4 linked regions of the Pelodiscus sinensis genome follow. The protein of the gene in region 2 purifies or fractionates together with the protein of the main gene of each other region. This does not show direct contact. Links are inferred from orthologs where the notes say so. Each region holds a gene or a part of one and is shown on either strand. Other genes may lie near its edges. The genes, in order: TNKS1BP1, CNOT1, OBI1 and CNOT6.

Region 1 (7,156 bases), on a different chromosome or scaffold from region 2:
CTACATCACCTTTTCACAGAGTCATAGGACTTAGAAGGGTCTACAGCGGTGTTCCCTATATAAGCCATGTGCTTGTGTGGCCACTCAAGACAGAGTCCCAACCGATTAGCCAAGTGCCCACAGCTAGGCGTTGTGTTTCTATTGGTGGTGCACATTCACACATGCCTCTGTGCACAGAAAATTATTCTGCACATGAATGGAAAAGATTAGAGGGAACATTGGTCTAGGGTGATCCTCTGTAAGAGGGGCCATAGGACGAGGCTGAGAATAGGACCAACCACATAGATCGTGTCTACAGCCGATCACGGTCCCAAAGGAGAAGTCCAAGAATAGGGAGCCATGGTTGGGGTTCTGCGTAGGTGCCAGAAGGTGAATGGCAGCTTCTGGCCATGCTGGGACATGGAGAAGGGAACAATCATCAAGGCAAGAGGCGATCTTGGGGGAGGAGCCTCAGTAGAGGTGGAGCTCACAGACAACATAACAAGCAAAGGAGACTGAGGCCCTGTCCACACTACAGGCGTCACAGCGAAGATGCCGTAGCTTTGTTGCTGTAGCATACACACGGGCTACAGCGACTGATGGGGAGGTTCCATATTTGTGGCCACAGCACCGTGGCCGAGGGAAGCATTTGCCTGCCCACCTAGCCATGACTACACTGGGACTATTCACACCGACGAGTGCAGAAAGTGTGCCGGAGTAAGGCTAGGTCTGCACGACACACTGACTTCAGAACAGCTACGTCAGTTAGGGGTGTGAACCCCCCACTGAGCGGGACATAATTACACCAACCTAGCCCTCCGGGTAGAGTGCACGGAAGGAGAGCTGCTCGGATCCACATCGCTCCCAACCTCCCTCCCGTTGGCCTAGAGCATCTGCACTGCAGCACAGCACAGAGGTTTTAAGTGGAGTCCAGGCTGGGAGATGGAGGGCAGCTCAGGCACGAGGAGCCCTAAGTTGCAAGCAGCAAGCAAGCTGAAGCAGAGGAGGGAATACCCAAGAGTTGCCAGGCCTCTGAGGCAGGACTTCCACCTCATGTTCAAGCCAAGAGCTGTCTTAGGACAGACAGAGGGAGGGAGCAGGGAGGAGTCTAAAGGGACATGCAGCTAGTCATGGTCACAGCTAAAGGTGGCACGTAGGAGACCAAGGGCTTATCTATACCACAGAATTCAGTCAACTTCAATTAGGTTGACCTACAACCTCCACAGCGATTGAATCAGCTGTTGGTGTCTATGCTACCTTCCTTACTGGTGGTGCGCATCTCCCCTAGGAGCTCTTGCAGGGCACCTTGTGAACTAATACCAGCCGTGAAACTGACAAGAATGTTAGTTTCACTGCTGGTTGAACCCCTACTGAGAAAATGAGCCACCAGCTCAGAGCTAGGGCCTTTTCCCCCCCACCCTCTTCCCTGCAGGTGTTCCTATCCCCCTCCCTGCTGCCAGCACCTCCCCCCACAGCTGTTACACTCTGCAAAATTTGTGATTTCTTCCTGCTCCTCCCCATGCCTCCAAACCCCCAAGCCTCCTTCCCCACCACCTGCAGCCTGGTCAGCATCCACCCTGCAGAGCTCCATCACCCCTACACCCCCTGTTCTTACCCTTCACCCTGCCCGTGGGACCCCCAAACACTTTTTTTAAAAAATTTGGGTAGGGGAGGAGGCTCCAGCTGTCAGCTCCAGGCAATAGAAGTAATGCAGCATACTAACTACATCGACCTAAGCGCTAGGCCTCTTGTAAAGGTGGAGATATTAGGTCGGTGTAGCGGAGGCTTTGTCAGTGGGAACCCTGACACTGACAGAATGTGATCAACTCTGTGGAGCAGACCAGGCCCAAGCCTGGGGAAGGCAAAGGGACAAGTGCAAGAGGGCCCCATTCGGCTCAAGGGAACAGTGCAGCGTAATGGACAGGGCAAGGCCCTTGCTTGCAGGGACTCTGGCACCTGCAAATCTAGGGACCAGCCCAGCTAAGCGCTCACTCACCTGGAGCTAGAATCCAGGAGAGTGAAAGGCAAAGTTGAGCCTTCGCCTTCCTCCTCCAGCAGGAAGGAGAATCTGATTAGCTACGTAGCCAGGGGATAACCAAGCCAGGGTGAGGAAAGGGGAGAGAGGGGGAGCAGGAGAGGAGAAGGGATGGAGGTGCAGGGGGTGGGTGGTCAGGAAAGAGGGCACAGGGGTCGATAGGGCATCAAGCGGAGGGCCAGGTGGCTGAGGGTGGCACAGTGACAAGACTGGCCGCTCCCAGGGACACAGCCTCACACAGCTCTTCGGAGGCGATTCTAGGAGCTGGTCCAGGGCCCGGCTTTGGCAAGGGCCCAAGGGAAGGGTCAGCGAGGGGAGGGATCAGTGTGAATCCTCCAGGGCAGGCAGAGGCCCTGGCCACAGCCCGGAGCAGCCCCTGGGTGCGGCTGGAGACAAGAGAATCTAGTATGGGGCACCCCCAAGACACCGCACTGCGACCCCCCCCCTCCGTGACACACTGCGGCCAGCAGGGGGACCCCATAGGCTGCCCCTCGCCCACCCTTTTCCCTCCCTGCTGCCAGCGCCTCCCCCCCCCCCCCGCAGCTCCCCCGCCCCACAGCTGTTATCACAAACTTTGCTGAGCGTTCCTTTCTGCGACTCCCCACGTCTCCAAACCCCCAAGCCCCCTTCTCCCCCCATCTGCAGCCCGGCCAGCATCCGCCCCGCAGAGCCGCATCGCCCCTGCACCCCAACCCCCCCGTTCCTCCCCGTCACCCCGCCCACGGGACCCCCAAACAGCCCGCACACGCCTCCGCAGCCCCGGGCACGCTCAGCACCCACCCCCCAAGGCAGAAGCCCCGCGCCCCGCACACGCCCCCTCCCCGGGTCCCGGCGGCTCCTCACCGGGCTCCGCGCCGCGCGGCACCGCCCCGACCCCCCCCCCCCCGCGCATATTCATGAGAAGCAAAACAAGGGCGGGGCGGTCCTCCGCCCTCTGCTGCATATTCATGAGTTATGCAAATCACCCGCGCTGGACACCGCCCGTTCCCACGTGTCACCCTGCTGAAGCCATCGACCCATGGGGCAGGATGTGCCGTGGAGGGAGGGGTTAGAGAGGCCCCGCTCCTGCCCCCCACCCCCCAGCTGTGACTGGAATACCCGCCCCTCGATCATTACAGCCTGCCCTTTTCATTCCTCCTCCCCCTCCCGCCCGAACCGGCCTCTGCTTGCCAGGACCCCGAGGTGGGGAGGGCGCGCCTGGCCCCAGGCTCACATGTGGGGCGTGTCTGTGTTCAACCGAGCTGGTAACATGCCAGGCACTTCCATGCCTGCCTGCCTGCCCCCCCCCCCCCCCCGTGCCCAGGCTGGGAGGGGTAACTCCAGAGTCAGTAGCCCCCCTGGGAATTAAAATCACTGCAGCCCTCATTGGGCAGCTCCAGCGACATCTTCATTATTCACCCAGCCTTGTCCCCTGTGCCCCTAAAACTCTCCAGTGCAGCCTGGCTGTAAGAGGGGCATGCTTTTAATGCTGGACTGGCAGGTCCAGAGGCAGGAATCTCCAAACCCCTTGCAGGCAGCCCACTTTGTAAGTCTGTTCCCTAATTAACCTCTCCTGCAATCACCAGGGCCATAGCTGGGACAGAGGATGTCTGTCCATATCTGCTAAACCCCTTTTCTGTTTCACCCATATTCAGGCATGTCCAGAGACTCAGGCACTAGTAGGCTATTGGTCACACACATTCCTACTTTCCTCTCACTCAGTGTGAGTAAATAGATAAAGATTTAAACTATTGGTTCTCGGGACCTCACACAGAGGCCTTAGAACTGGGAAAGCCATTTTCCAAGCCTGCGTACTTAACTAGGGAGATTACAGGCTTTGCCGGCAGCAAGGGTAAAGAGGGGAGTGGAGGTGTGTACACACACACGCACACAGCTTGTCCAAACAACAAGCAGGACCTGACTGAAAGGTTGCAGGTTCTGCAAAACAACAGTTTAAAACGTAAACCCTATTCGACCAATTCATGTCCTGGGGGGATCTCCAACCATCTAAGGTTTTGTTGCAACCAGCAAATTATTTTTATTCAAATCTGCTGGTTTTCAGTTACACTGCATAGAGAATCCCTATAGGCCAGAGATAAAAAGTCTCTCTGGGGGCACCTGTAGGTTAGTCTGTAATTTTAAAAACCTCAGAGAGGAACAAAAACATATTTGTAGTACTATGAGCTTTCATCTCATCTGAAGGGGGTTGTGCTCACAAAAGCTCATGATACTAGCTATATATTTGTTTGCCTCTTAGGTGCCACAGGACTACTTGGCTATGTCTAGACTGGCGGGTTCTTGCACAAGAACATCTTGCACAGGAGCTCCTGCACAAGAACACGTCCACGTGTTTTTGCGCAAGAGCATCCATGGCAGTGTGGATGCTGTCTTGCGCAAGAAAGCTCTGATGGCCATTTTAGGGCTTTCTTGCGCAAGAAACCCCTGCCGCACATCCACACTGCCCTTTTGCACAAGAGCTCTTGCACAAGAGGGCTTACACTTATTCGAAAAAGCGTAGCTCTTGTGCAAGAAGCCCTCTCTTCCCACGCTTCACTGTAAAACTTCTTGCGCAAGAGCAGGCGGGCCAGGTGGACGCACTGCAGGTTCTTGCGCAAGAACCCGCCAGTGTAGACATAGCCCAGCTGTTTAAAAGTTTTCACAGGCCATAGACTTTAGTATGAATCAGGGCATTTAAGTGTTTCATACTCAGTAGTATGCAGTGTTGATTTTAAAGCCAACTCTTTTCCATACATAATAAACTTAAACAACAAATAGCACGGCAGCACTTTAAAGACTAACAAAACATGTAGATGGCATCACGAGCTTTTGTGGGTACAGCCCACTTCTTCAGATGAAGACAGGTTGGATTGAAGTCCTGGACTGTTAGGCTATGTCTACACTGGTGGGTTCTTGCACAAGAACGGAGGTTCTTGCGCACTGACCACACGGCCCCCTAACTCTTGCACAAGCTTTACAGTTAAGCATAGGAAGAGAGGGCTGCTTGTGCAACAGCTACGCTCTTTTCTAACAAGTGTAAGCGCTCTTGCACAAGCGTTCTTGCACAAGAGAGCAGTGTGGACGTGCAGCAGGAGTTTCTTGCACAAGAAAGCCCTATGGCTAAAATGGCCGTCAGAGCTTTCCGATGCAAGAGTGTCCGCACTGCCATGGATACTCTTGCGCAAAAGCACATGGCTGTGTGGACGTGTTCTTGCACAAGAGGTTCTTCCACAAGAACCTGCCAGTGTAGACATAGCTGTGGAGTCCCCAAGGACCAAAGCTGAGCATCCCTGCCTTGAGGAAGAACCTAACACAGCACCTGGGAAGTCTCACTGTAAATTTCATCCCAAAGGGCAGCCAACTCTAGTCATCTCTGCATGTTGCCCTGCCAGGCAGCCACACCTCCTGAAAGCTCCCAGTTGCACGTGGGCAGCTGCTTACATGGCCCAGCTCCCAGGGCAAAGCAGTGTAGGCCCAGCTGCGGTGGAATCGCAGGACAAATGCAGGAAGGGCAGAGGCTGTCGGGTCTACCCTACGCTCCAGCCGGATGTGACAGTAGAGGATTAAAGGCACAGCCGCTGTGGCCCGAGGACTGGCCCAGTCTCTGGCGGCTTAATGCTTTGGTCTGATTTTGGGCATTGGATGTAGGGGCTGTCACATCCCGGTGGTCAGAGGTCCCTTCTGGTTTTCGATTCCACGCCCTTGCTGGGCCCGGCCCTAGTGCCGCACACGGTGCGCGAAGAGAGGCACTGCCGTGGCTGCCTGCAGTCTGCCTTCCCATTTACTCCTGGCAGCTGAGCACTTCTGGTAAATAACCCACAGAAAGTAGGCCAAAGGAAATGGGACCCCGGAGGATTTCCCGCGAGGGCCAGCTTCCATCTGCACAATTAACCTGCTCCAGCCTTGGTTATGAAAGCCACGGCCCCTGGGGCGCATTCCTCCCCCTCCCAAGGCCAACAGGGCTCTCTGCCCTCTCGGCGCTGCGGGCTGATTCAATTAGAGCGAGGCAGAGTGCACGGGCTGACGCACAGGTGACTGGAAGTGGGGGGCAGAGACACTTTAATGGAGCACTGAGGTCCGGTAATAGGCTCTGATCACATCAGGCCTCCTGCCCCCAGCTTGGCTTAGTTCTCCTGGCAGCAAGGGCCGCAATGGAGACGAATGAGCCGCCGCTCGCGCTCCCTTCCCCCACCCTCAGGGCAGTGCGAGCTGGGCAGAGCTCTAGGCCCAGAAGGGACAGCGATGAGGCTCTGAGCCCCCCACGCTGCCCCCAGGGCAGGAGGTAAGGTGCAGGAGCGGGCTGGGGGGTTTGGCCAGGAGGCAGAGGGGAAGTGCTCCGCTCCAGGACCCAGCATCCACTGGGAGGTATGGGGCAGGCTCCCCCACATAAAGCCATCTTAGGAACAACCCTCCCTGCCGGCTAAGCCTGTTAATGGCCCAGGCCACAGACAGGGGAGAAGAGGGAGCCCCTAACACTTGACTAAACCTCATTGCTATCGACCGCCTCCCTCCTTAGGCAGCTCCCACAGGTGTCCGATGGCCTTTAATGCCGTTAAGGCCACAGCTTACTGGAATGAAGTGAGATAAGGCACTGGCCCAAATTCAGCCCCACCCCACCGCAGGAGCGCTCCTGTGGATGGCAGCCAGCAATGCGGCCGTGGGGAGGAGACGACCACCCCGTGGGGCTTCGCCTGCTCCCTCTGCACTGGGAGACCCGGCCATCTGTCCCCCAGCCACACTCAAGACAGAAGCTCCACCCAAAGTCGCTTGGTTTTTATTCCACCCAATTGCCACGTGAACAGACGAGAAATACAAAAATAAACAGAACATAAAAAATGCTGAGGGAGCCCGGCTACAGGCCAGGGGACAGACCCCGCCCAGCCGGCTCCCCGCAGCACGCTGGGAGGGCCCCCTGCTAGGGCCTAGTGGGGCTCCGGCAGCTTGGAGGTGCACCCCCTTCCCCTGCTTTCTAGCACCCCGTCGTTCTCCAGAGTTCAGCACAAGCCCCGCGAGGGAGAAGGGGGCAAGCAAGGGCCAGAAGCAGGGCTGGGTCCAGTCAATGGGGCAGCTGTGTCGTCCTTCCAGCCCCGCCCCTGGCAGAAGGGATAGGGGGAGGGGAGTCTAGTTCTCACCTCAGCGACCTATGACCTGTGCCATCCGGAACAG
Region 2 (7,514 bases):
GCTGCAGTCAAGGTAGAATCACAGGGGATTATATTAAACACTTAGAATGATTCAAACTGAGACTTGTACATGTGTTTACTCTTGGCAATTGGTGCTTTTCTCTGAGTGTGGATGAGGAGAAACAAAAGTGAAACTGACCTTGTTTCTTGTCCATTTTGATGGGGGGGCCTTAGCAGAGGGTCAGTGTCTGGGTGGCAAACTCTGTAGTGGCAGGACAAGGCTTCTCATTAGAATTTACAAACACACTTTTCTGTTGATCTGTTTTGTAGAACAATAAATGAAATAAAAATCTGGGTTTGTTTTTTAATGCAAGACTTAAATGCTGAGCCTCAGTTGACTCCTCCTCCATACAGGCAGCTTCTCTAAGGGAGACTTGCCCCACAAGCTGGATCTGGGCTGCAGGTTCTCCACCCCCACACCGAAGGTGTTTGCTCATCACTGCCGGATGCTCTCTTGGACTTGTGGGGAGGGGCGGGTGCACTTCTCTCACCTGCCACTCTGTGACTAATAAACCAGGAATTGCTACAGGAGCTGGATCATCTCTGCTGCAGAGCCTCCTCCCTGTTAAGCTGCAGGGATCCTGGCTTGGGTCTCTGTATTTCAGAAGCTGGGGCTGGGTGACGGGTGGGATCGCTTGATGATTCTCCTGTTCATTCCCTCTGGGGTATCGGACCTTGGCCACTGTCAGAAAACAGGGTCCTGGGCTAGATGGACCTTTGGTCTGGCCCAGTCTGGCTGCTCTTGTGCTGGGCCAGGAGTGAAAGACGGGGGGCTGGCTTGTAGAAGCTCCATACTAAGGTGGCAGGTTGACTTACTCTGCCCTTGGTGTAAAGGCTAAAGACTGGAGGCTGCTCTGTTTCTCCTAAAGGGCCGGTATGTTGGTAAAAGCAGCCGGGACTGCGGTGTCCTAGGCCCAGGAGGCAATAAGCGTGATGCATTTCTTCCCTTGGGGCCTCGCGCTGCGGGGGGGGATTGCTCAAATCCTGTGTACAAAGCTGTAACAAACAGGCATGGGTGGTGCTCGGCTGAGCTGGTTGGGGCTAGCGGGGGGTGAGGGGGAGCACGTGCTGTGCTCCCAGGCTGTCATGCTAAGCATTCCCAGGGAAGGGCTGGCTGGCCGCCCGCTTATGGAAAGTCCAGCTCAGAGGCCCCGCTTGGTACCGGCCGGTGTTCCTGGGGCTCAGGGTGTGAGCCAGTGTATTGAAAAGCAGACGCACCTGATTCTCTCTCATCCGGATCCCCTACCTGTAGCCCATAGCGCCAGCACAAGGCAATTCTCCATCCCTCTCAACCCATGCTCCTTGAATTCACATTTCCCCACCCCTCCTTCCTGTGCATGTTCTCTGAGCAGCCTGCTGGGTGGGGATACCTCTGAGGAGCTGACGTCCCAGCTGCATTAGGCACGTGGCCAGCCTGGGTTTTTCAAGAGTGACTTAGACACATAAGTCCTATTGAAAGTCAACAGGGCTTGTGCTCCCAACTCCCTTTGTCATGCTCAAACACACAGCTGCCTCCTGCTGACAGTGGCAGGCCTGGGGTAGTGGTGTGATGAGCACAGCTCCCTACAGACAGATGGCTACTTCTGCTTTCCCTGTGCTGGAGGAGGGGTTGGAAGCTTTTTAAAGTGCATTCGGCAACAGCAGCAACTTGCTGGATGGGGTGGGTGCCTTCCAAGGAGAGGGGGATGCAGGTGTAACACTGGTCACCTGTGGGTGGAATTGAACCTGGGACCTCTGGAGCCCAGCACAGGAGCCTCTACTGCAGCAGTGGACAAAGGGCCCTCTACAGGCCAGATTCGGCCCACCAAGCCAGTGAAGTGGGCCTGCGGCCGCCCTGCTGCCCCCACCATGCTGGGGGTGGGGAACAGGCGAAGTCTTTCGTGTCTTGGCCCCACCCTACCAGGGGCACACAATGGCTAGAGAAACATGCCAGCTGTTTTAAAGCAGCTGGCATGTATCTCTAGACGCTGCACGCTCTTGTGGGGACCAGGAGACTTTGTCTGCTCCCTTGGCCCTGATTGGCTTGGGGAGCGCGTGAGGTCTCCTCCCACTGGGTGCCTAGAGGGAACTGCCAGCTGTTTTAAAACAGCTGACCTTTCTTTCTAGGGGACAGGGGAGGGAAGGGGAAGATTTCCCCCACCCCAGGCCAATCAGCATTTTGGGGGAAAGCACAAGAAGTCTCCTGGCCCCACCCCTTCTGTCCAAGGTTCTGCTCCTTCCAGGGTGGCCTGGGGTCACTTCTGAAATTTCTGAAGTGGCCCCCTTTTAAAAATTATTGCCCTCCCTCCCTCTTCTACTGCACGAGCTAAAAGCTAGCTGTTAGAACAATGAGTCTGCTCTACAGCCTTACCTATCTGTATGGGTCTTGGTGCCACTGGAAAGGATAATGCACTGCACCCAGGAGAGACGTCTTCTAGTAGAGGAAGTGGGTCCCAAGCTTCAGAGACATCCCATTTGAAATCCCAGAGGAGCCCCTATTTGCAGAGGTGATGGATGATGTGGGTTGTTGGGAGGTGGGCTTGAGCCTGTGATCTTAGGGGCTAGGGATTTTACTGGAAGGGCTGCATTGCAATTTGATAGTTCCATGATCCTGAGTAAACTGACCTGGGCTCTGAAACATACTTTTAGTTATTGGTAGCCAGAGGACTCCACCATCACCGACAAAAACAAAGCTATTACTTTCATTTTGTGAAGACATTAGCAAGTGACAGGACACGAACTTGTTCATCATTACTTTTGTATGATTTTTTCCCCCCTATGAAAAATGGTTCATATAATTGGTTATAAGATAGTTATTAATATAATCAAGCTTCTCCTATAAGTTGTTCCATTTCATGGCTATCCTTGCTGGCATTTTGATTACACTATTTGTATATAGGACAATTTTTAACAGGCTTACAAATGCTGGCAGAGTAAATACTAGCCAAAAAAAACCCCCAATAATCATCACAAAAGTGAGCTTTGTTTAGATAAACTATATACAGTAATGTAATAGTCATAGCTATTGAACAGGGTGTTATCCATTACAGAACAAGTGTCCACATCTTGTTTCTAATGGTGTTTTCATAAAATTAAAGCTTTTATTATACATATTTAGCAAGGACATTTCTTAAATATTAGTAAAAATATTGGCTAGATTTTTAAAAAAAATGTGAATATACTTTGTGAGAGTCAATAGCAACAAATATTTACATGTCCCCTATTTTGCTTAGTATGTAATTAGTGGTAATTTTTCGTAACCAGAACCTTTTATATTTTTAAACCATTCCTAGTCTAGAGTTTCAGGGGGTAGCTGTGTTAGTCTGTAACTTTAAAAATGAGTAGACCTGTAGCACCTTAGAGACTAAAGACAATATATCTGTATCATGAGCTTTCGGGGGGCAAAACCCACTTCTTTCAGATGAGATGATTTTGAGATCATCTCGGCTGAAGCAGTGGGTTTTGCCCATGGAAGCGCATTGCTCCAGAGTGGCACCATATTTTGTTTTCCATGCTGGCATTTCCCTAGCTCCAGGCACTGACACACACCCTCACGCCCATGCGCTGCTCCGTGCACTGGTTCTGGATCCAGAGATGCTGTGGCTGGAGGGGGACCAGGCCTGTTTCTGCTATGCACCAGCTGCCAGCCCAAGCCAGGCGGGGCTGCTGCCTGCAGGGATTCTGGTCTCACACTGGTTTGACTTCAGGAGTGACTCCTGCTTTGCGTTGGCGCGGGGCAGGGCGCTGCCTAGCTCAGCAGGTGCCAGGCGCTCCAAGCCTTTGCCATGTGCAGACCAAGAGGGGCTGGCTGGAAGATCATGTGACACTGGGGGAGGGGAGGGGAGAGACTAGAGCAAAGTGGCCTGTACCATTATATAAGCCTCACGGGGGTGTGTGAGAGAACAGGAAAGATGCAAACAACTCCTACCACTACAGAGGTACGGGGGGGGGGAGGGGTGATGGACTGAACCACTGTGGAGGTACAGTGGGGTGGAGAAGCCTGCCCGCATTGTTGTAGCGCAGGTGGACTGTACCATTGGGCTCTCCGCCTACAGAAGGCACATGCCGTGCAACATGGGGTGGCGGGCGGGAGATGTTGCCCCTCACGCTAGGGCTGGGCAGCCACTCCTCTTCCCCAATGACTCCGCTCGCCCTTTGCGGCCTCCTTTACTTCCCCTTCCTCGCCCAGCCGCGCTCCTCTTCCATTGGCCAGACCCGGGAGCGCAGATGCCTTCCCCGAACGCTGATTGGCCACAGCGCCTAGGCGCAGGAGCCCTGACCTTTGATCTGCCGACGGGAGGGAGGAAGGCTTCCTTTTCATTAACCAATCAGCGTCCGGCCTTTGCTTTGGCGCAGAAACGCAACGCTCCCCTTTCTTTCCCGAATGGACGCCGGTCGCTGATTGGGTGGAACCCCCCCCCCAGCGCAGGCGCCTTTGCCGCCTGCCTGAACTGTGATTGGGTGGAATCGCGTACGCAGGGGAGGACGGCCGCGGCCCCGCCCTGCGCGTGGCGTGCCGCGAGGGGACTGGGGAGGGGAAAGGCCGCGACGTGAGCGCGCGACCCCGTCCGCCATTTTGTATTGAAACCAGCAGAGGCGAGAGGCTGAGAGGGGATAAAAGCGCGAGAAGCTGACCGAGGCGCCCGCTCTGGCCCCGCGACCCCCGCCCTGCTGCCTGAGGTGAGCGCTCCGACGGGCCCGGGGAGCGGCTGCGGAGGCCCGGCGCAGCCCTGGGCTTGGGGGCCGCGGGGCCCGGAGGCCAGGCGAGCAGGAACCAACCGGAAGGAGGGGCGCTTGCGCGGTGGGGGCTCTGGGGCGGTGCTGAGGCGCTCGGGCCTAGGCTGGGAGTGGACCCGGGCTCGGGGGCAGTCGGCGGCCTGGGCCTGTCGCGGGGACCCCGCGCGCGTCGGGAGGAGGCGAGCCCCGCCCCCGTCTCGAGTTGGCAGCAGGAGCGGGGGGGCGCGGGTGGGTTTGGGGGCCGGAAGTTCCCGATAGCAGGAGCCCCGCGCCCCAGCCGTGTCCGGGGGCCTGTTTGCGCCGCGCCGCCGCCGCCGCAGGGCTGGGCGGTTCGGGCTGGTCCTGCCGCCCCGTGGGGGGGGGGGGGGGGGCTGTGCTCCCGCTCCCCGTGTCCCTGCCCGGGGGGGAGGCGGGGAAGAGCAGAAACTTCCCCTTTCTCCTGCGCGCTTCTCTGAGGCACCAGGCTCAAAGCGCTTGCTAGCAGGGAGCCCAGGACAACCTGCCTCTTCCCTGTCGGGTGAAGAGGGTTGGACTTGGGCAACCCCTTCCTCTGGAGCTACTTTTGCATCCGTATGAGTAACCGTGGTTTGGAGTGGGTTGGAGCATGCCTTTGAATACTTGTCCCTCAGTGATCGCTTCTAACCAGCAGCTACATTTGTTCTCTTCTTGGTAGAATACATGTTTGCTAAAGGAGGGAATAAAACTAGCTGGCTATTTGGTGGAAATGCAAAATATCGATTGATTATTTTTTTGGTCCCTTGCCTCTTAAAAGTGCCCTATTAAAAAGCAGTTTTATCAAAGACTATATCCTCATTTAAACATACTTGAAACACACAAATGGTGCTTGTTTATAGGTTAGTGTAGTGGTTTTCAACCTGTGGGCTGCTTGCAGCCAATTCAGTGCACAGCTGCAGTTCTCCATATGGCTTCTCAGGGCCATGCAGGTAGAGTATATATGTTGCCTGGATGTGGTCCAGTGTAACTACAGATCCAGCCCACAATAGAGAACAGGTTAAAAATCCCAGTGAAGTAGAATAAGTCTTGAATATTTTAAATGTCACAATATACAAAATGCAGTTTTGGCTTCAAGAAAACTTTTTCTGGGACAAACTAAGTTAAGGATTTAAATAAACTGTTGGGCATTGTAAACAGAGACTTGCATTTGTAGCATTCCCCCCCTTGCATCTGCTTTGTAGAGCTGCTCTTTAACTCTAAAACTTTGATGATCTCTTGAATGGCAAACCTGACATGGATTCTTGGAAAGTCTAGTAAAAGGCAGTCTTGAAGAAAGCCCCACCGTTTATAAGAGTGCTATTATATTGCCTGGGTTGATGAAAAATAAATTCATAAAAATGGAGTACATGTTCTTATAGAAAGTACTGTGAAGGCATGGTCTCTAATTGTGGCTAAGTTCAGAGTACTAAAATATTTAGCTATTGAGCTGAAAGGAAAAAATCTTTCCAAATATTTCCATTAACAGTAATAAGCAGCTAACTAGCATTTGCCTAGCTCAGAACTAGAACACTTAACGCACTGTTGTTTTTAAAAATAGCTTCCTTGAAATGGGTGTTCCTTTCTTGTGTAATAGCCTTGTCTTCCTGACTCTTGAAACTAAAAGGTGACTGCCAGCTAACTTTAACAAATCACAAAAGATTTTGTTCAGCACACAATTGCGAAAGGAGCGAGATGTGATTTACAGTGGCTTTACCTATAATGAATGGATGTAAAAGTTCACTATACCATGACAGTCAAATATGGATTTAGTACATGCAACTTAAAAGTTTAAAAGCCTCCGGTTTTGTCATCTGTTTGGATAGTGCACATGCTTTGTCTGCTCTACTTCAAGGACTCTGTGGTGGAAACCATGAAAAGATAGCAGCAGCTGTCAGATTGTTAAGCAGATAGTGAAATGCAAGGATTTCTGTATATATGGAGGGAATTCTATATACGAAGAATGAATTGTCATAAAAGTAACTTCAGGATGCTGCTTGTTGCCAGGGTAGCAATATTTTGGATTGAATAAGATGAAGGCAAAAACTAGCCCAGATGAGATGCCTTGTAAATAGGAATAGAGAGGTAGCCGCTTTAGTCTGATACTTCTAAAACAAAAGGGAAAAACTATGTAGCACTTTAAAGACTAACAGGATGGTTTAATAGGCGATGTGCTTTCATGGGCCAGACCATGAAAACTCATCACCTATTAAACCATCTTGTTAGTCTTTAAAGTGCTATGTAGTTTTTTCTTTTGTTTTTGTAAATAGGTGGCAGCCTTCTATGGCTGTGCAGCAATGTACTTTCTGGTCCCACTCCTGCATCTTGAGTTGGTATTGTCCTACACTCCGTCTCCCTATAAATATGGCTCTCTCAGCCTGACCCACATCCTGTTGCCAGACAACTCCATCTTTCTTTCTGGAGAGAGCATTGTTCTTGATCATTCTTCTAGTCAGTGTTTACTTTAAAATTGTATTTACTCATTCCAATCCAGATATTAGTTTCCCAGTAATGTGACTAAATTGTCATGCATGTGGCTTATGCAGTGCATTTTTTCTTGCCTTAAATGCTTAAGCAGTAAGTGTTTTGTAGTTAACTTAGCTTTGAAGCATATTTTCAGTTTCTTCCTTAACAGTCTTTTGTAGCACTAACAGGGAGGATTGGGCAATATGACCATATTCCAAACTAGTTTAGTAATTTTGCTCCTCCATGTTTCTTATGTAGTATCTTACGGAATTTATATTCCTGAAGTGGCCTCACATTTTTTGGGCTCAGATAAATCTCTAACCTCCACATTGGAGGAGTGGT
Region 3 (7,288 bases), on a different chromosome or scaffold from region 2:
TGGAATTCCGCAGCCAACAAGAGAGCAATCAGTGGTTGATATATTGGGTCTTCATTAGACCCCCTATATCGACCGCCAAGGGATCAATCACCACAATGCTGATCTCCCAGTAAATATAGCCACACTGTCAATGAACTACTCTCTCTCTCCCCTAGGCCAGAATTGAGACATTAAACTGCAAGCCGCTGGAGTATGGTCATCTCCCATGCCAATGGTCACTAACTGGTCAATCGTGATTGACTGGTAGATCCTAGGGAGTCTCCAGTTGATTGCAATCTACGATGGTGGAGCTAGATTACTAATAAGGCAGGCTTCTTTCCTGCACATGCTGCTGGCCTGTTCCCAGAAGTATCCAATGCAGCCCCTCATATGTGCATGCACAGCATGTCTTGGCACTCATCCTGCCTGCAAGAACTACTTCTTGCAGCATCCATCGGCCAGAAACAGGAAATTGTGGCCAATGGGAGGTGAGAGGATGTTGTATGCAGAAAGGGGCAGCACACAGTATCATGTGCTCCCTGCTCCCCTCCTCTAGAGGACACAGAGGCACATTATACCAGGAAAAGGCTGGACACAGAAAGTAATAGCACAGGGAGTGCTGCAGAACCCCCATGTTTGGCATCTCAAGTCCCAGCTCTGCATCTTGGCCACCCAGTGTCCCAGCCACCAGGCCAGCTGCTGTCTAGTGGCTTCTCTGTGTGCCTGGGATCCCACTTGGCTACAGGCCCCAGGGCTCCACTGCTGGCCCCAGGGTCATGACCGCTGGTCCTGCATGCAGGAGCCCTGCCCACTGGTCCTGTTGCCGGCCCAGGAGCTCCACTACTGGTGTAGCAGTGTATGTCGCCATACAAGCCTAGGATCCCACCCAGCTGCTGGTCCGACAGTCCTGTCCAGCCACACACCCAGGGGCTCCACTGCCAGCACTGGGATCCTACCTGGCTGCCGGCCCAGGTCTAGAGCATGGTGAGGGGTGCAGTTAAGCACCCCCACTCAAAACCTATTCCAGTTCCACTGATTGTGGGAGCAGCATGGGCCTGGGATAGTCAGTGAACCTTCTTTAGTCTCACTGAGCTGGCAACTGGGTGCTGCCTGGTAGGAGGCCACAACCCAACCCTCAGCCCTCCTCCAGACTGACAGAAACCCCATAGCCCCTCCCCTACCTCCCCCCCACTTTGCCCCTGTCCAGAGCCCCCTCCTGCACTCAATTACCCACTCCTGTACCCCAAGTTCCCTCTTTTCCAGGCTAGAGCCTGCAATCCCTCCCAAACCCCAATCTGGTAAAAGTGAGTGAGAGTGGGGAAAAAGCAAGCATTAGAAAAATGGAGAATGGTTAGGGCTTGGAGAAGGGGCAGGGTATATCCAGGTTACCCTTAATCCCCCCCAAAAATTATCTTTGGCTTCCAAAGGTTGGAGACTACTGCCCCATGCTGTATCTACTTTGTATGTCAGGCATCTCCTGATCCCTTGGAAATCCTATCCCCAAACCTCACTGTCAATTCGAACAAGTGTCAGAGTCCTTAGCACAAAGGCTATTTCCTAGTGGTCGTCTCTATTCACAGAATCTATTGGGTTGTGGAGGGGGAGAAGGGAAAAGGGAGAAAAAGACAGAAAAGAAAAGGAATTTGAAAAGATGGGTTCTTGAAGAAATACCAGCTTTTGGTAGCTTTCCCCAGCCTCCAACAGAAGAAATTATGTCTCAAGAAAACTTGAGTTAGGAAAATGGAACTATTTTCTGCTGCATGGACTAGAATTTGGCTTCATATTGTCTGATCTACTCTGTCCCACACCCAGCATTTGAAATGTTTGTTCAGCCATTCGCTAGCACAGAGTTCCTACCGAGCCTCAACGAACACATTACTAGTCACCACTCGAAAGTGTCCTAGTACCTCAATAAGCATGCAGGAAAAAAAGCCTCTTTATCCGGAAACAACGGATAAAGGGGAGGGGGGAAATAAAGCCTCTGGGGGTCACTCACCCGAAACGCTGGAGAGATTTCTTTTAAGGAGCGCATCGCACGTTTCCCATAATCCGAAATATGGCAATAAAACTTGCTGGCAGTAAAACACCACTGGTCACGATCCCAGCTCGGCAATCACCACCGAGCGTGGGTCCTTCCCCTGGCCTTGCATTGATCACCCATCCCCAACTTTTCTCTCTCTTTCCCCGGCGCCACTTTAACAGCTACAGCCTGTTTAAAAGGACAACACTAAATCCAGGCACATAATCCCAGTCCCTAATCATGGCTGCACTTGCCAGGCTTCTTAGAGCAGCAACCCCCCCTCCGCCCCATGAACCTCCCCACTCCAGCCCCCGTGCACATTCGCGGGAGGAGGTACAAGCCGGCTCCTCTTACCCCCGCTCGCTCTGCTTAGTAGCAGTAGCAGCAGCAGCTCCATTACCTTTCCCAGGCAAATGTGGCAGGTGATGGGCAGCGTCAGAGACAATGTTACATTCTGAACGTTCTGAGCCATTGTGGCGTTTCGAATCCCGCGAGCGCGGAAGTTCCACCAGCGGTAACAGCAAGCGGCAGCCCTCCACGCTCTACTCTGCGTACGGCAAGCCAAAGAGTCCAATCCTCAACGCAAAATAGGAAACCGAAATCGCGCTTTTGAAATGTTCCCCTGCAGGAGGCCGGGAGGCGGAGTAGGGGACTCGGGCCTTCTGCGCGCACACAGCTGCATGTTGCTGCCGTCCCGAGGGTTAGCTCCCTTCCTGCAGCTTTAAACTAGGGCTGGTATATTGGGCTAGGAAGCTGTAGGCAGGTCCCACCTGTTAACGTAGCAGCATTCACTGATCATTGTTCTCCTTTCCCTTAGGGAGGATCCATTTCTCTTTATTGTTTTTTAAGCATGTTTGCTTTGTCTGTGCAGGAGTCCCTCAGTATCTTGGCCCCCTGGCCAAGGCCTGTATAGAAAGTCAGAGCATTAGACACATTGAGCCAGGCACCAGTCTCTTTCTAATCCCACAGAAGGGTAGTGAGAAGGAGAAGTTTCCGCCCTCCCAAGTACATACCGCATTCCTGGCCCACTCTCAGAACTCTGCTGTGGTGAGCTCTAAAGTGCCTGGTTTTAACCTGTTATTTGAGGTGAGCTGAAGTAATGAACTTTTCCAAACGGTTCCTTCCCCTCATTTCCATAAAACTCAGAAGGTGGAACAACCAAGATCAAGAAGACTATGAAGATTGTAGCCAATGAACAGTGTTGCAATGTAGCACAGGACCCATTTCACCCTATCGTTATTCAATGCTTTTTTGTTATTGCTATTATTAGTGTAATAATAGTATTAAACAACTATTGTTTTGTTTTCGTTATCAATATTAATTGCTCAGGGATTGCTCTGCTTTGTGAAAGGTACAAAAGAGGACATGATCCCTGCCCTGAAGGGTTTACAGTTTAAGGATCTGATCTGACAAATATTACCAAGACTAATCAGTGGGGTAATTTAGAGTTTGTGTACACACAAAAGATTAGTTAAATTAAACTTGTACAGGTTCTCTTCTTACACTCCTCACCGATCCTTATGTGTGCAATACAGATGCTTTACACCAGTGTAGCTATTAATATAAAGGTTTTTGATGCTGGTATAGCTATTCCCATCAGAAAGGGAAATAAGTTCTACTAGAATATGGCACCTTTGTAATTGCATCCACACTATAATTTGTATTGGTATAGCTTTTTTGATAAAGACACCCCCCCCCCCCCAATAGAATACTGGTACAAATATTGTGTGTAGAACAGACCTTAAACTAGTAAACAGTAATGACTACTATATGTGTATGCAAGACTAGACCTTAGAGAAATGAACAGGGCCAGATTCTTGATATCCCCCCCCCCCCCACACACATGTATGTGGTTATTTTGCAATGCTCAGTGGGGTGCTCCCTTGAAAGCTTCTTTAATAGGGAAGTTTCCTGGCCAAAGAGAATCCCCAGGTGTCACAGAGTCAACACAGGTGGTTCTAAACCAGTGGTCACCAGCCAGTAGATCAGGATCTACCAGTAGATCTTGGAGCCTCTGACAAGTGATCCTGACTGATTTGGCTGAGAGGCTATCAAGTGCCTGCCCTTCAGTTGCCCCTCCTCCCACAGTCCAGCTGCTTCTGCCCAGAGCTGCCTCCTGGGAGCCTCCTGCTTGTTGTGCAGATTTAGGGACACAGAGGCAGGGGAGTACTGATGTCACACTGTCCCCCTTCCCTGTACCCCATTTTCACAGAGTGAGGAGGGTGGGACCTCGGTGAAGGGGTGGAGCAGGGGTACCGTACTTGGTTTTGAGGTAGATCCTGGACTAACTTAAATTCAAAAAGTGATCTTGTGCTTAAAAAGATTGGAGACCTCTGTTCTAAACTATCCATTTGGGGTCCACACTCTAATAAAAGATGTGTGCTTCGAAGAGCAGCAGCAATGTGGCCAGGGCTTCATGTGCTCTGGTGATCCTTGGTATCTAAGGGTGTGTATGGGACTGTTAATGCCAGCATACTTCAGGATGCTCTAAATTAAGGTGAAATAATCTTAGGCTCTTCTAAATTCCATTTGGGGATGAATCATCTCTCAGCCAGCTTCTGGATCAGAGGAACAGAAGGGTAGCCTAGAGCAACATTCCTCCTCTGCCAGTTTCTACTTCAAGTGCAGCACAGCTGGACTCAGAGATATTTCCCGCAATCTCCAAAATACAGATTCCCTCCCAGAAAAAGTGTAGGAGCAACTCTGCAAAAGAGGAAGAATGACCTATGAAACAAAGTTCAGAACAAAATCTCAACTTCCTCCAGCAGTAGGGTTGCTTGGATTTGGGTTCTTTTTTGGGCCCATTACTAGATATATATGCCAAGCCATAAATTTCATATCTATATGTAAACTTTCCCCAGCTATTGAGAAGTGAGGGTTTTTTTTGGAGTAAGCTTATCTCTAATTATAACTAACTGAGGCAGGTTGCTGTCTTCTAGGAGAATACACTGCTGCTATCCCTGGCATGAACACCCAAGACCTGGGGGGGAAAAGGGAAAGTCTCTGATAATCATCATAACACAGACTATGCCAACCTAAAGATTATTTTTACAATTAAACCAGCTTTAAGTGTAACAGCCAAAATAAGTCTCTGATGGGAAGCTGTGATAGCGTGTATCTTCAAAAACAATGAGGAGTCCTGTGGCACTTTTAAAAACTAAGGGTACGTTTATGCAGCAGCATTATTTTGGAATAACTTATGTTAGAATCATAGAATACTACGACCGGAAGGGACCTCGAAAGGTCATCAAGTCCAGTCCCCTGCCCTCATGGCAGGACCTAGTACTATCTAGACCATCCCTGATAGATATTTATCTAACCTACTCTTAAATATCTCCAGAGATAGAGATTCCACAACCTCCCTAGAAAATTTATTCCAGTGTTTAACCACCCTGACAGTTAAGAACGTTTTGCTAATGTCCAACCTAAACCTCCATTGCTTCTTGTTCTATCCTCAGAGGCCAGGAAGAACAATTTCTTTCCCTTTTCCTTGTGACACCCTTTTAGAAACCTGAAAACTGCTATCATGTCCTCTCTCAATCTTCTCTTTTCCAAACTAAACAAGCCCAGTTCTTTCAGTCTTCCTTCATAGGTCATGTTCTCTAGACCTTTACTTATTCTGGTTGCTCTTCTCTGGACCTTTTCCAATTTCTCCACATCTTTCTTGAAATGTGGTACCCAGAACTGGAGATATACTCCAAGGATGCGTCTAGACTGGCAAGTTTTTCCGCAAAAGCAATTGCTTTTGCGGAAAAACTTGCCAGCTGTCTACACTGGCCACTTGAATTTCTGCAAGAACACTGACTTCCTACTATCTGAAATCAGTGCTTCTTGCGGAAATACTATGCTGCTCCCGTTCGGGCAAAAGTCCTTTTGCGCAAAGCTTTTGTGCAAAAGGGCCAGTGTAGACAGCTCAGATTTGTTTTGTGCAAAAAAGCCCCGATTGCAAAAATGGCAATCGGGGCTTTTTTGCGCAAAAGCGTGTCTAGATTGACTTGGACGCTTTTCCACAAAAAGTGCTTTTGCGGAAAAGCGTCCATGCCAATCTAGACGCTCTTTTCCGCAAATGATTTTAATGGAAAACTTTTCCATTAAAAGCATTTGCAGAAAATCATGCCAGTCTAGATGTAGCCCAACTGAGGCCCAATCAGCACAGAATTGAACAGAAGAATGACTTCTCATGTCTTGCTCACAACACACCCGTTAATGCATCCTAGAATCATGTTTGCTTTTTTTGCAACAGCATCACACTGTTGACTCATATTTAGTTTGTGGTCCACTATAACCCCTAAACCCCTTTCTGCCATACTCCTTCCTAGACAGTCACTTCCCATTCTGTATGTGTGAAACTGATTGTTCCTTCCTAAGTGGAGCACTTTGCATTTGTCCTTATTAAACTTCGTCCTGTTTATCTCAGACCATTTTTCCAATTTGTCCAGATCATTTTGAATTGTGACCCTGTCCTCCAAAGCAGTTGCAACCCCTCCCAGCATCATATGATCTGCAAACTTAATAAGCGTAATCTCTATGTCAATATTTAAATCGTTGATGAAGATATTGAACAGAACCAGTTCCAAAACAGACCCCTGCAGAACCCCACTTTTTATACCTTTCCAGCAGGATTGTGAACCATTAATAACTATTCTCTGAGAACGGTTATCCAGCCAATTATGCACCCACCTTATGGTAGCCCCATCTAAACTGTATTTGCCTATTTTATTGATAAGAATATCATGTGAGACTGTATCAAATGCCTTACTAAAGTCTAGGTATCCCATGTCCACTGCTTCTCCCTTATGCACAAGACTCGTTGTCCTATCAAAGAAACATATCAGATTTGTTTGACATGATTTGTTCTTTACAAATATATGCTGGCTGTTCCCTATCACCTTATTGTCTTCCAAGTGTTTACAGATGATTTCCTTAATTACTTGCTCCATTATTTTTCCTGGCACAGAAGTTAAACTTACTGGTCTGTAGTTTCCTGGGTTGTTCTTATTTCCCTTTTTATAGATAGGCTCTATATTTCCCCTTTTCCAGTCTTCTGGAATCTCTCCTATCTTCCATGATTTTCCAAAGATGATAGCTAAAGGCTCAGATACCTCCTCTATCAGCTCCTTGAGTATTCTAGGATGCACTTCATCAGGCCCTGGTGACTTGCAGACATCTAACTTTTCTGAAATAATAAGAGTGTGCATCTACACAGCAAGCCATTATTTTGAAATAATGTCGAACTGGAGGACTTCTTACTTCAACTCATTTCTCGAAGAGTAAAGGAAGTCAAAGGAA
Region 4 (7,919 bases), on a different chromosome or scaffold from region 2:
ACTTAACTTTGGAAACCCCAGGGGCCACACTACACGAGTTCTGCAAAAATGCAATATTTACCTGATTTCCACCCATATGACAGCACTTTAAATAAGCAACGAGAGTCCAGGAATTTAACTACTAAAATGCTTATCAACAGAGGACCATTATATTGACTACTTTTTTGTTTTGGCTTCCACCCGTGTTGTCGCATGCTTAGCCCCACATAAACCCAAACTGTGCTGCAGGCCGCAAACAAACAGGCTGCCGGCTGCATATGGCCCATGGACCACATGTTGAGTAGCCCTGATCCAAAATTTACTTTGCTAATTGGTCTCTATTTGAAATGATCAGGGCAAAAATCACTGGATCATTTCCCTATCTATTTTTAATACGTGTGAAAAAATAGCGTCTGTAACTCAGGAGACTTGGTATAATCTATGAACAAGGACAAGGGTAATGGAAATATCAGCTTTCCCACATTGCTCCAGCTATTTACCTATTCTGGAGGAGCAACACCAGAGTGAAAAGGGTTCCATTGTCCATTCATGGTCTTTGAGCTCTACTGAGATCAACAGGTGGGCCAAGTAACAGGGATGTTAAATTTCAACTACTCAGCTAATCGAGTAGTGGGGCTCTTGCTACATTTCAAAAGCAGGAGTGCCGCAGTCAGAACCTGGCACAAGTCCCTGCTCATGCTGTTTCCCCACTGTGCCTCTGCCGCTCCTTCCCCCCAGCACCGGCTCCTGCTCCCCCCCTTGCTGCCTCTCTCTGATAGAGGCAGCAGGGTGGTGGTGGTGGTGAAGAGAAACTAGATTTGCTTATCAGCAGGGCTTGCCAAGCCGCGTTGTTCGGCGTTCTGCACAGATTGTTCTGCGCATGCGCAGATCGCCTGAACCCAGCTCTTCCGGGATGTAATCTACTCACAACGGGCGAGTATATTACAGAGATTGTCAAGCCCTGCTTATCAGGCAGTCGACTAGTCACTCACATCTCTACCAAGTAACACATGTTTTTGCAATGTCAACATTTTTAAGGCAGATATTAGATAATGAACTTTTGGTCATCACCTAACTTTGCAAGATACTGCCTAAATATGAAAGACTCCACACATTATATCCCAGTACCTGTATCAGACCCCAGGTATGCAATCTCCCACAGGCTAAAGAGCTATGAACAACTGACTCCTCCTAGATAAGTAACAATTCTTGGGAAAACCCATTATGTATTTGAAGACTTACTATTCCTTTTGGAAAATGAATTCCAGACAGACGGATACATTCCATTAAGGCCATATTTACTCTAAAAAGTATTAACAACTTAAGTATGTGTGACTATTAATATCTGAAGGGGTAGCTGGTTATCAGAAAACATTTTGAGAAGTGATGTTACATGAGGTGGAGCAAAAAAACCAGCTTTCATATACAGAAGCCTAAAATATACCATGACTAAGTCCAAAATATAGAGCCAAAGAAGGAAATCATTTATTTAGCTCTATTACAAGTGTGAAGATTGCTAAGTCTTTCACCAGGATTACATATGTAATAAGTGTATGGTCATTGTTTTTAAAGAATATCATATGCATTGCTCAGAAGCAAGCAAGGGAACAGTCCCTCCCTTTCTAGTTCTTTTAACATATAATATTGCACAAGAACAATCTTGTTCCTCGTCCACAGAACTACAATTTGCTTTATTTTTTGTCACATGCCTCTACTTCAATTTAGACACCTGAAGGCTTTGTCTTACTAGCTTTCCTAGTTCACACCCAGGCTGTACTTCCAGGATGATGATGATGATGATCTTTTGTTATCTCTTCTGATCAAATGGTGCATAATAAAAATAGCATTTCACTGTCATGACACCAATGTTGGGCCATTTTGATTTCACTACACCTATAGTCACTCAATCTCTCATTTCTGGACAACACCCTCATCCTGCCCGTCACTCAAACCTGTATCCTGTAAAGGCCATGTCTACAGTTACAAGGTTACAGTGGCTGTACTGCTGTAAGAGCACTCATGTAGCCACGTTATGCTGATGGGAGAGAGCTTTCCCATTTAGATAATAAAACCTGCTCAAGAAATGGCAGTAACTATGTTGGTGAGAGAGCATCTCCTGCCAACGTAGTGCTGTGCACATAAGTTCTTATGCCGGCAAAACTTGCGTTGCTCAGGGCTGTGTTTTTCACATTGAGGTGCAACAAAAGTTTTGCCATCATGAGTGTTAGTGTAGATATGGCCTACATATAACAAAACACAACAGATGGCTACAGACTGACAGACGGGAGTACAAAGAAACAGTACAGCAGCAGCCTGACTGATCAAGTTTCTTGCAGACACCATGATAAAGTTTTAAGTAAGGCTTTGAAGAGGGATAATCCTTGTGCTGATGTTTCTCTCAAGCATGAGGTCAGCATGACAGAAAGCACAGAAGATGCTTGTTTGGAAATTTAACACGAGTGATGGAAGCTGGTATCGTAGACCGATTGGAGACGGGCGTTGACATCTCAATAGTGACTACGATTGTAAGTTAGGAGTAGACCATGAAGGGCGTTCAAAGTGAGGATAAATAGCTTATGTTTCATGCAATGGAAAAGTGGGTCCTGTGGAAGGGTCCAAAAAGGTTTGTCAGAAGAAAAAGCTAGGAAAATGATCTTTATGTCAATGCTGAATGGATATGAGTAGGACAAAAGTTGCATTAGTCAAAGTCAGACAGAAGAATGTTTCAGTGACTAAGACTAGATAAGGAGAGCTTGGACAGGAATTTTAGTTGGATGGATAGAAAATGCTGCATCTGAGAGGTATAATGCTGAAAAAACCTGCAAGACTTAGATATCTCCAGTAATGGAGATTCCACAACCTCTGGACTTGATGACCTCTTGAGGTCCCTCCCAGTATTCTATGATTCTATAGCCTGGATATGAGGATCTAGAGCAGGCATGGGGAACCTGTTTTGGGTCAGGGCCACTGACCCACATTAAAATCTGTCGGAGGGGCCGCACACAAGTGAGAAGCAAAAAAATCTCAAACCAAAAAAACGTGGTCCCTGGTTGAGGAATGAGACTCTCTACACTCTCCTTGCACACCAGAGCCTAGTGGGACCCAGACTAGTAGATTTTGTGTGCTCCAACCCCGCGATGAGGCAGCGAGGGGGCTGGAGCGGCAGCATGGGCTCCCCAGTGCTGGGTGAGGGAGGCCCTGAACCTCCGGAGACAGATCCAGGCAAGCCGGAGGCTGCATGCAGCTCCCAAACCTGAGGTTCCCCACCTCTGCTGTATACTATTCTTCCCCGTAGTTGAACAGATAAGTCTATGCTAACTAGTTCCTCTTATTGCTTCCCATCTCTGCAATAAAATTTTCAGATAAATTGCTAATGTTATACATTTCGTTGCAGATAACTCGCTGTTGTTATAGCTCACCTAGAAGCCACCAATGAAAAATCAGCATCATGCTAGCAAATGTATATCCAGGGAGCAAATAGGCCATTTTCCTTGTTGATTTCTTTCTCATACTTCTCATTCTTGTATACAAGAACTTACACACTTCTTTTAAGGTCATTACTTTTTGATAAAATACTTTGTTCCTTATACTGTTCAATATTCTTTCTAGCCCTCATATCAGGAACTTTTTTACAGCCAAGTACTACTTGATCTCCCCATTCCCAGAATGCTAACGTGTTAATAATATTTTCGTTATGTACTTGCTTTTTTGTCCCTTTCTACCAATTATTCAACCACTCGTGCACAGCACCCTCCAACTTCCCCATTAACACCTTCACACCACCTGTTCACCCAACTCCTCAGTGATCCCGCACCTTTTTTTTACCTACTCCAAAACACTCCTACAAACCCCACACGCTATGTCCAAGCTTGTTTTCAACCATACACATTGACCAATGCTGTCCCCTGTCCCACTGCATGCACTACACTGCTACTCAGATCTCACCAATATGCTCCTCCAAACATGCCCTGGGACCCCACGAGCCCCCCGCAGCTACCCCCTCTGAAACCCCCGCGGCCCCCCGGAACCTCATGGGCCCCTCGCGGCCACCCTCCTCCCAAACCCCACGGGCTACCCGCCTCCAGAACACCAAGGGACCTCCGCAGCCACCCCCCCCCCCGCAACCCTACGGGCTCCCCCAAACCTCACGGGCCATACCCCTCCGGAAACCCGAGGCCATCCCCCTCCGGACCCCCCAGGTCCCCCGGACCCCTCCCCACAGCCACCCTCCTCTGTACCCCACAGATCCCCTAGGCCATCCCCCTCCGGACCCCCCAGGTCCCTCTGGACCCCCCCGCAGCCATCTCACCTCCGGACCCCACAGATCCCCGAGGCCCTCCCCCTCCGGACCCCCCAAGTCCCCCAGACCCCCCCCCCGCAGCCACCCTCCTCTGTACCCCACAGATCCCCTAGGCCATCCCCCTCCGGATCCCCCAGGTCCCTCTGGACCCCCCCGCAGCCACCTCCCCTCCGGACCCCACAGATCCCCGAGGCCCTCCCCCTCCGGACCCCCCAAGTTCCCCAGACCCCCCCCCCCCGCAGCCACCCTCCTCTGTACCCCACAGATCCCCTAGGCCATCCCCCTCCGGATCCCCCAGGTCCCTCTGGACCCCCCCGCAGCCACCTCCCCTCCGGACCCCCCCCCCGCAGCCATCTCACCTCCGGACCCCACAGATCCCCGAGGCCATCCCCCTCCGGACCCCCCCGCAGCCATCCCCCCTCCGGACCCCCCAGGGCCCCCGGACCCCCCAGATCCCCGAGGCCCTCCCCCCCCGCGCGGTCCGTTGGGCTGTGGGGACGCTCCGAGCGCGGCCCGGCCAGGCCGCAGAGACGCCGCGCGCGGCGTGCGGTGAGTGTGGGCGGCCCCAGCGCGCGGCGCTGCGGAGGGGCGGGGTGCTGGGGCGGGGGGGGGCGGCCTGCCCGCTGCCGCCATGATGCTTGTTTGCTTTCAATGCGTGTGAGGAGAAGGGGGAGGAGGCGGGGGGGAAGCTGCTCTCCCGTCCGGCCCGCGGCAGGAAACAAAGAGCCAGGCAGGCAGCGGAGAGAGGGCGGCGGGGGGACGGGGATGCTGCAGCCACAGGTACGGGCAGGAGCGCGGACCCCCGGGCTTTACCCTGCGGGGTGGTTCTTGTTGGAGGAGTCTCGCGGCGTATTCCTGCGGGGCGGGGTGTGTGTGGAAAGAGCGAGTATTATTACTCCGAGGGGGGGGGGGGTGATTGGGGGAGGGGAGTACTGCTGCTTTGAGGGGGCGGGTATCACCGCTATGGGGGGAAGAAGTATTACTGGGGGGGGGCACACGGGCGCCCCTGTGTTGGGGGCCAAAGGGGTAGAAGTGCCCTGGGTGGGGGGCAGAGAATGGTGTATTGGTTCCAAGGTGCGGTTGGGTGGGGGCAGATTGCTAGGGAATTTGGGGGGGATTATTGCTGTGGGGGAGGGAGACCTCTTGGTCTGTGGTGGGGTGAATGGGAGTATTGCTCCGGGGCCTGAGAAGTAGTATTGATTTGAGTTGGGGGGGGGGGGGTTAATCCCTTGGAAAAAGCTCTGTGGGGGCTTTGTGGGGGGGGGGGGGAAGCGACGAGTGATTTTGCTCTGAGGAACAGGGGGCTGGATTAATACTCCAGGGGGTGGGGAGTTGAGGCTGGGAAGGGGTATTTCTCGCAGCAGGCCTGAGGGAGGAGAGGGGATGTCATTGTGGAGGGGAAGAAACGGTGGAGAAGCATTATTGCTGGAAGCTGGGGCAGGGAGGCGCTGAAGGAAGGGGGCTTGAGTGGGTGGGTGATATGAGAAACTCTTGAATGAAATGGGGCTTCTTTTCAAGAGGAATTAGACTGGAAGCTTATCCACAGAATAAGAGAGCCCAGAGGCAAAGGGCCTCCTTCCCTCAATAGCTTATTGTACCCCATATTTATTGGCATTTAGAAAGTAATTATATTAGGGTGGTTTTGCAGTGAGAGGAAAGGTGGGGGCTTCTTTCAGAGGAAGTAGGTTTATTCTCGTTTCAAAGGCTTACACGCATTGAGAAAGCAATTAAGAGGCAGTGACAATGGACTTGAAATTAGTATAATGGCATTTGGAAGTTTAAAAGCGTTTTTCCTGTGTAATTGAGTTTAAAATAATTAAACATGAAGACAGAAGGAAATGACATCAGTATGATAATTGACCATCTACATTCAGACCACAATTTTCCATCAGCCTACCCCTCTGCATTGAGAGACTTGAATTCATTTAAAGCTGATGTATTTCTTTTTGTAAGTCTTATTTTGTGAACAAGCAAAATTGGTTTGTAAACAAAATCTGTTTTCTGCTCCGAGAGAAGCCTCCCCTTTCATTTGCTGCTGATAGTCTGAAAACTGAGGCCTAGCTGGCAATAAGGAGGCCACAGCAGCAACTGCTTAGATCTATCTGAAGTAGAAAGGAAGAGTGTTAGAGGGTGATTGTCAATCCTGCTGTCCAATGAAATGACTGGGGAGGGCAGGACTTGTGGTGACATGCAGATAAGTGGTTGGGCCAATGAGACACTGGGATACACACATGTAGGGCGTAAACAATGGGGAACTGGGAAACATACTCCAAAGACAAGTTTATGCAGTGTTGTTATATGAAAAAATGTGTGTATGTCGTTAATCATGGAAATTATAATAATATCCAATTGATAGGGTTACTAAGCTCATGAGCAGGCAATTACTTTTGTAATTGACGGTTTGGAGAATGATTGCTATTGTATTTGTCAGACTCTGAGACAAACATGTAGGAAGTAAGCAGTTGTGAACTAGATGCTAGATCTATTTTTCGCTACACTACATGCTTTCAAATGTGAAGAATTTTAAGTTGCTGTGTTTCCCACTAGTGAGGTTAGCAAACCTGTTACATGCCAATTCCTGTATTTGGCTCAAAATTGAGATTTTTAGAGGTAAGATTTTACATAATCTGATCAATAATGTCTGTAAATTAAAAAAAAAATTCTTGTGAAACTGGCTTCATTGTCCCATCCAATCTTAATATGGGGGGGGGGGGGGGCAGAAAAATGGCTCAAGTTCTTTTGATCTAAAATATATTAGTAATGTAGAGACAAGAATTGCTTGAATATGACACTCTAGGAAGGCAATTGATTTATAACCAGTAATGGTTGTTCAGTTCTTCCTTTGTTTAGTTTCAGGAGGTTATTTTATTTATTTGAATTTCACTGAGTTGAGTATCAGATAAAAAAAAAATCAAAGAATGTAGGAATACCGGTGGTAATTGTCTGGTTTATGTGTGTAGGTTTGCAAGTGTTGATTGGTAATTTTATTGTATCTTGCATTTTTTTCATCCTAGAGCAGGTCTCGTAATTGGGAATTTATCAACATTTCCACTGGGGTAATTTTACAGGATTATCTGCCCTGTGTTCTTCCTGCTGTTTCATCTGGACTCTGGAGTTTGCTGCTAGCAATGAAGCCTTCTGTGGGGGTTTATTCACGCTATTACTGAAATGGAGCCATTCGCATTTGGATTTACGCTTTATTCACTTTCCACTTGAATCGCTTGGATCAGTCCATTTATAAAAAGGAGACTACTATGCATCTTTTTTCTGTTTGCATATTGAAGTTGAACGCTGGGTGCATCCTTGATGTGTACAGGCTGTTTACTTTGCTTGAATGTTAGAGGAAGAACTGAAATATAAAGATAGATGAGACTATAATACTGCATGGGCAGGTAACTACTTTCGGTATTTTATATTATCGGATCTTTTCTTTTTTGAAAAAAAATGTAGTGTTTCCAAGTTTGAAGAAGCCTTGTTAAACTGGGTTCACAGTGGTAAATGTTGAGAAGTAAAAATATTAAGATCTGGATATTCTAGGAGTGAGGAAGAAAAAAAATGATTAGTAAATCCAATGTACTGTTTAAAATGGAGAAAACAGCTTGGAAAACTGGAAGAAATGCCTCCAAAGTTAAAAAAAATC

What was found.
Region 1: the proteins of CNOT1 (region 2) and TNKS1BP1 purify together in Homo sapiens (affinity purification with mass spectrometry; 5 studies listed by BioGRID and IntAct, with this or other methods). This does not show direct contact. The link is inferred for Pelodiscus sinensis from reciprocal best matches to the Homo sapiens genes CNOT1 and TNKS1BP1.
Region 3: the proteins of CNOT1 (region 2) and OBI1 purify together in Homo sapiens (affinity purification with mass spectrometry; 3 studies listed by BioGRID and IntAct, with this or other methods). This does not show direct contact. The link is inferred for Pelodiscus sinensis from reciprocal best matches to the Homo sapiens genes CNOT1 and OBI1.
Region 4: the proteins of CNOT1 (region 2) and CNOT6 purify together in Homo sapiens (affinity purification with mass spectrometry; 5 studies listed by BioGRID and IntAct, with this or other methods). This does not show direct contact. The link is inferred for Pelodiscus sinensis from reciprocal best matches to the Homo sapiens genes CNOT1 and CNOT6.

The regions. Positions count from the first base shown.
Region 1 is NC_134714.1:128,191,915-128,199,070, forward strand, and holds the start of TNKS1BP1 (182 kDa tankyrase-1-binding protein), read right to left. Parts: upstream 3,015-7,156; 5' UTR 2,858-3,014; intron 1-2,857.
Region 2 is NC_134722.1:46,505,940-46,513,453, reverse strand, and holds the start of CNOT1 (CCR4-NOT transcription complex subunit 1), read left to right. Parts: upstream 1-4,499; 5' UTR 4,500-4,658; intron 4,659-7,514.
Region 3 is NC_134711.1:265,221,316-265,228,603, reverse strand, and holds the start of OBI1 (ORC ubiquitin ligase 1), read right to left. Parts: upstream 3,014-7,288; 5' UTR 2,472-3,013; coding exon 2,400-2,471; intron 2,243-2,399; exon of another isoform or gene 2,012-2,242; coding exon of another isoform or gene 1,976-2,011; intron 1-1,975. UniProt on the Homo sapiens protein: E3 ubiquitin ligase essential for DNA replication origin activation during S phase.
Region 4 is NC_134727.1:33,387,912-33,395,830, forward strand, and holds the start of CNOT6 (CCR4-NOT transcription complex subunit 6), read left to right. Parts: upstream 1-4,906; 5' UTR 4,907-5,059; intron 5,060-7,293; exon of another isoform or gene 7,294-7,671; intron 7,672-7,919. UniProt on the Homo sapiens protein: Poly(A) nuclease with 3'-5' RNase activity.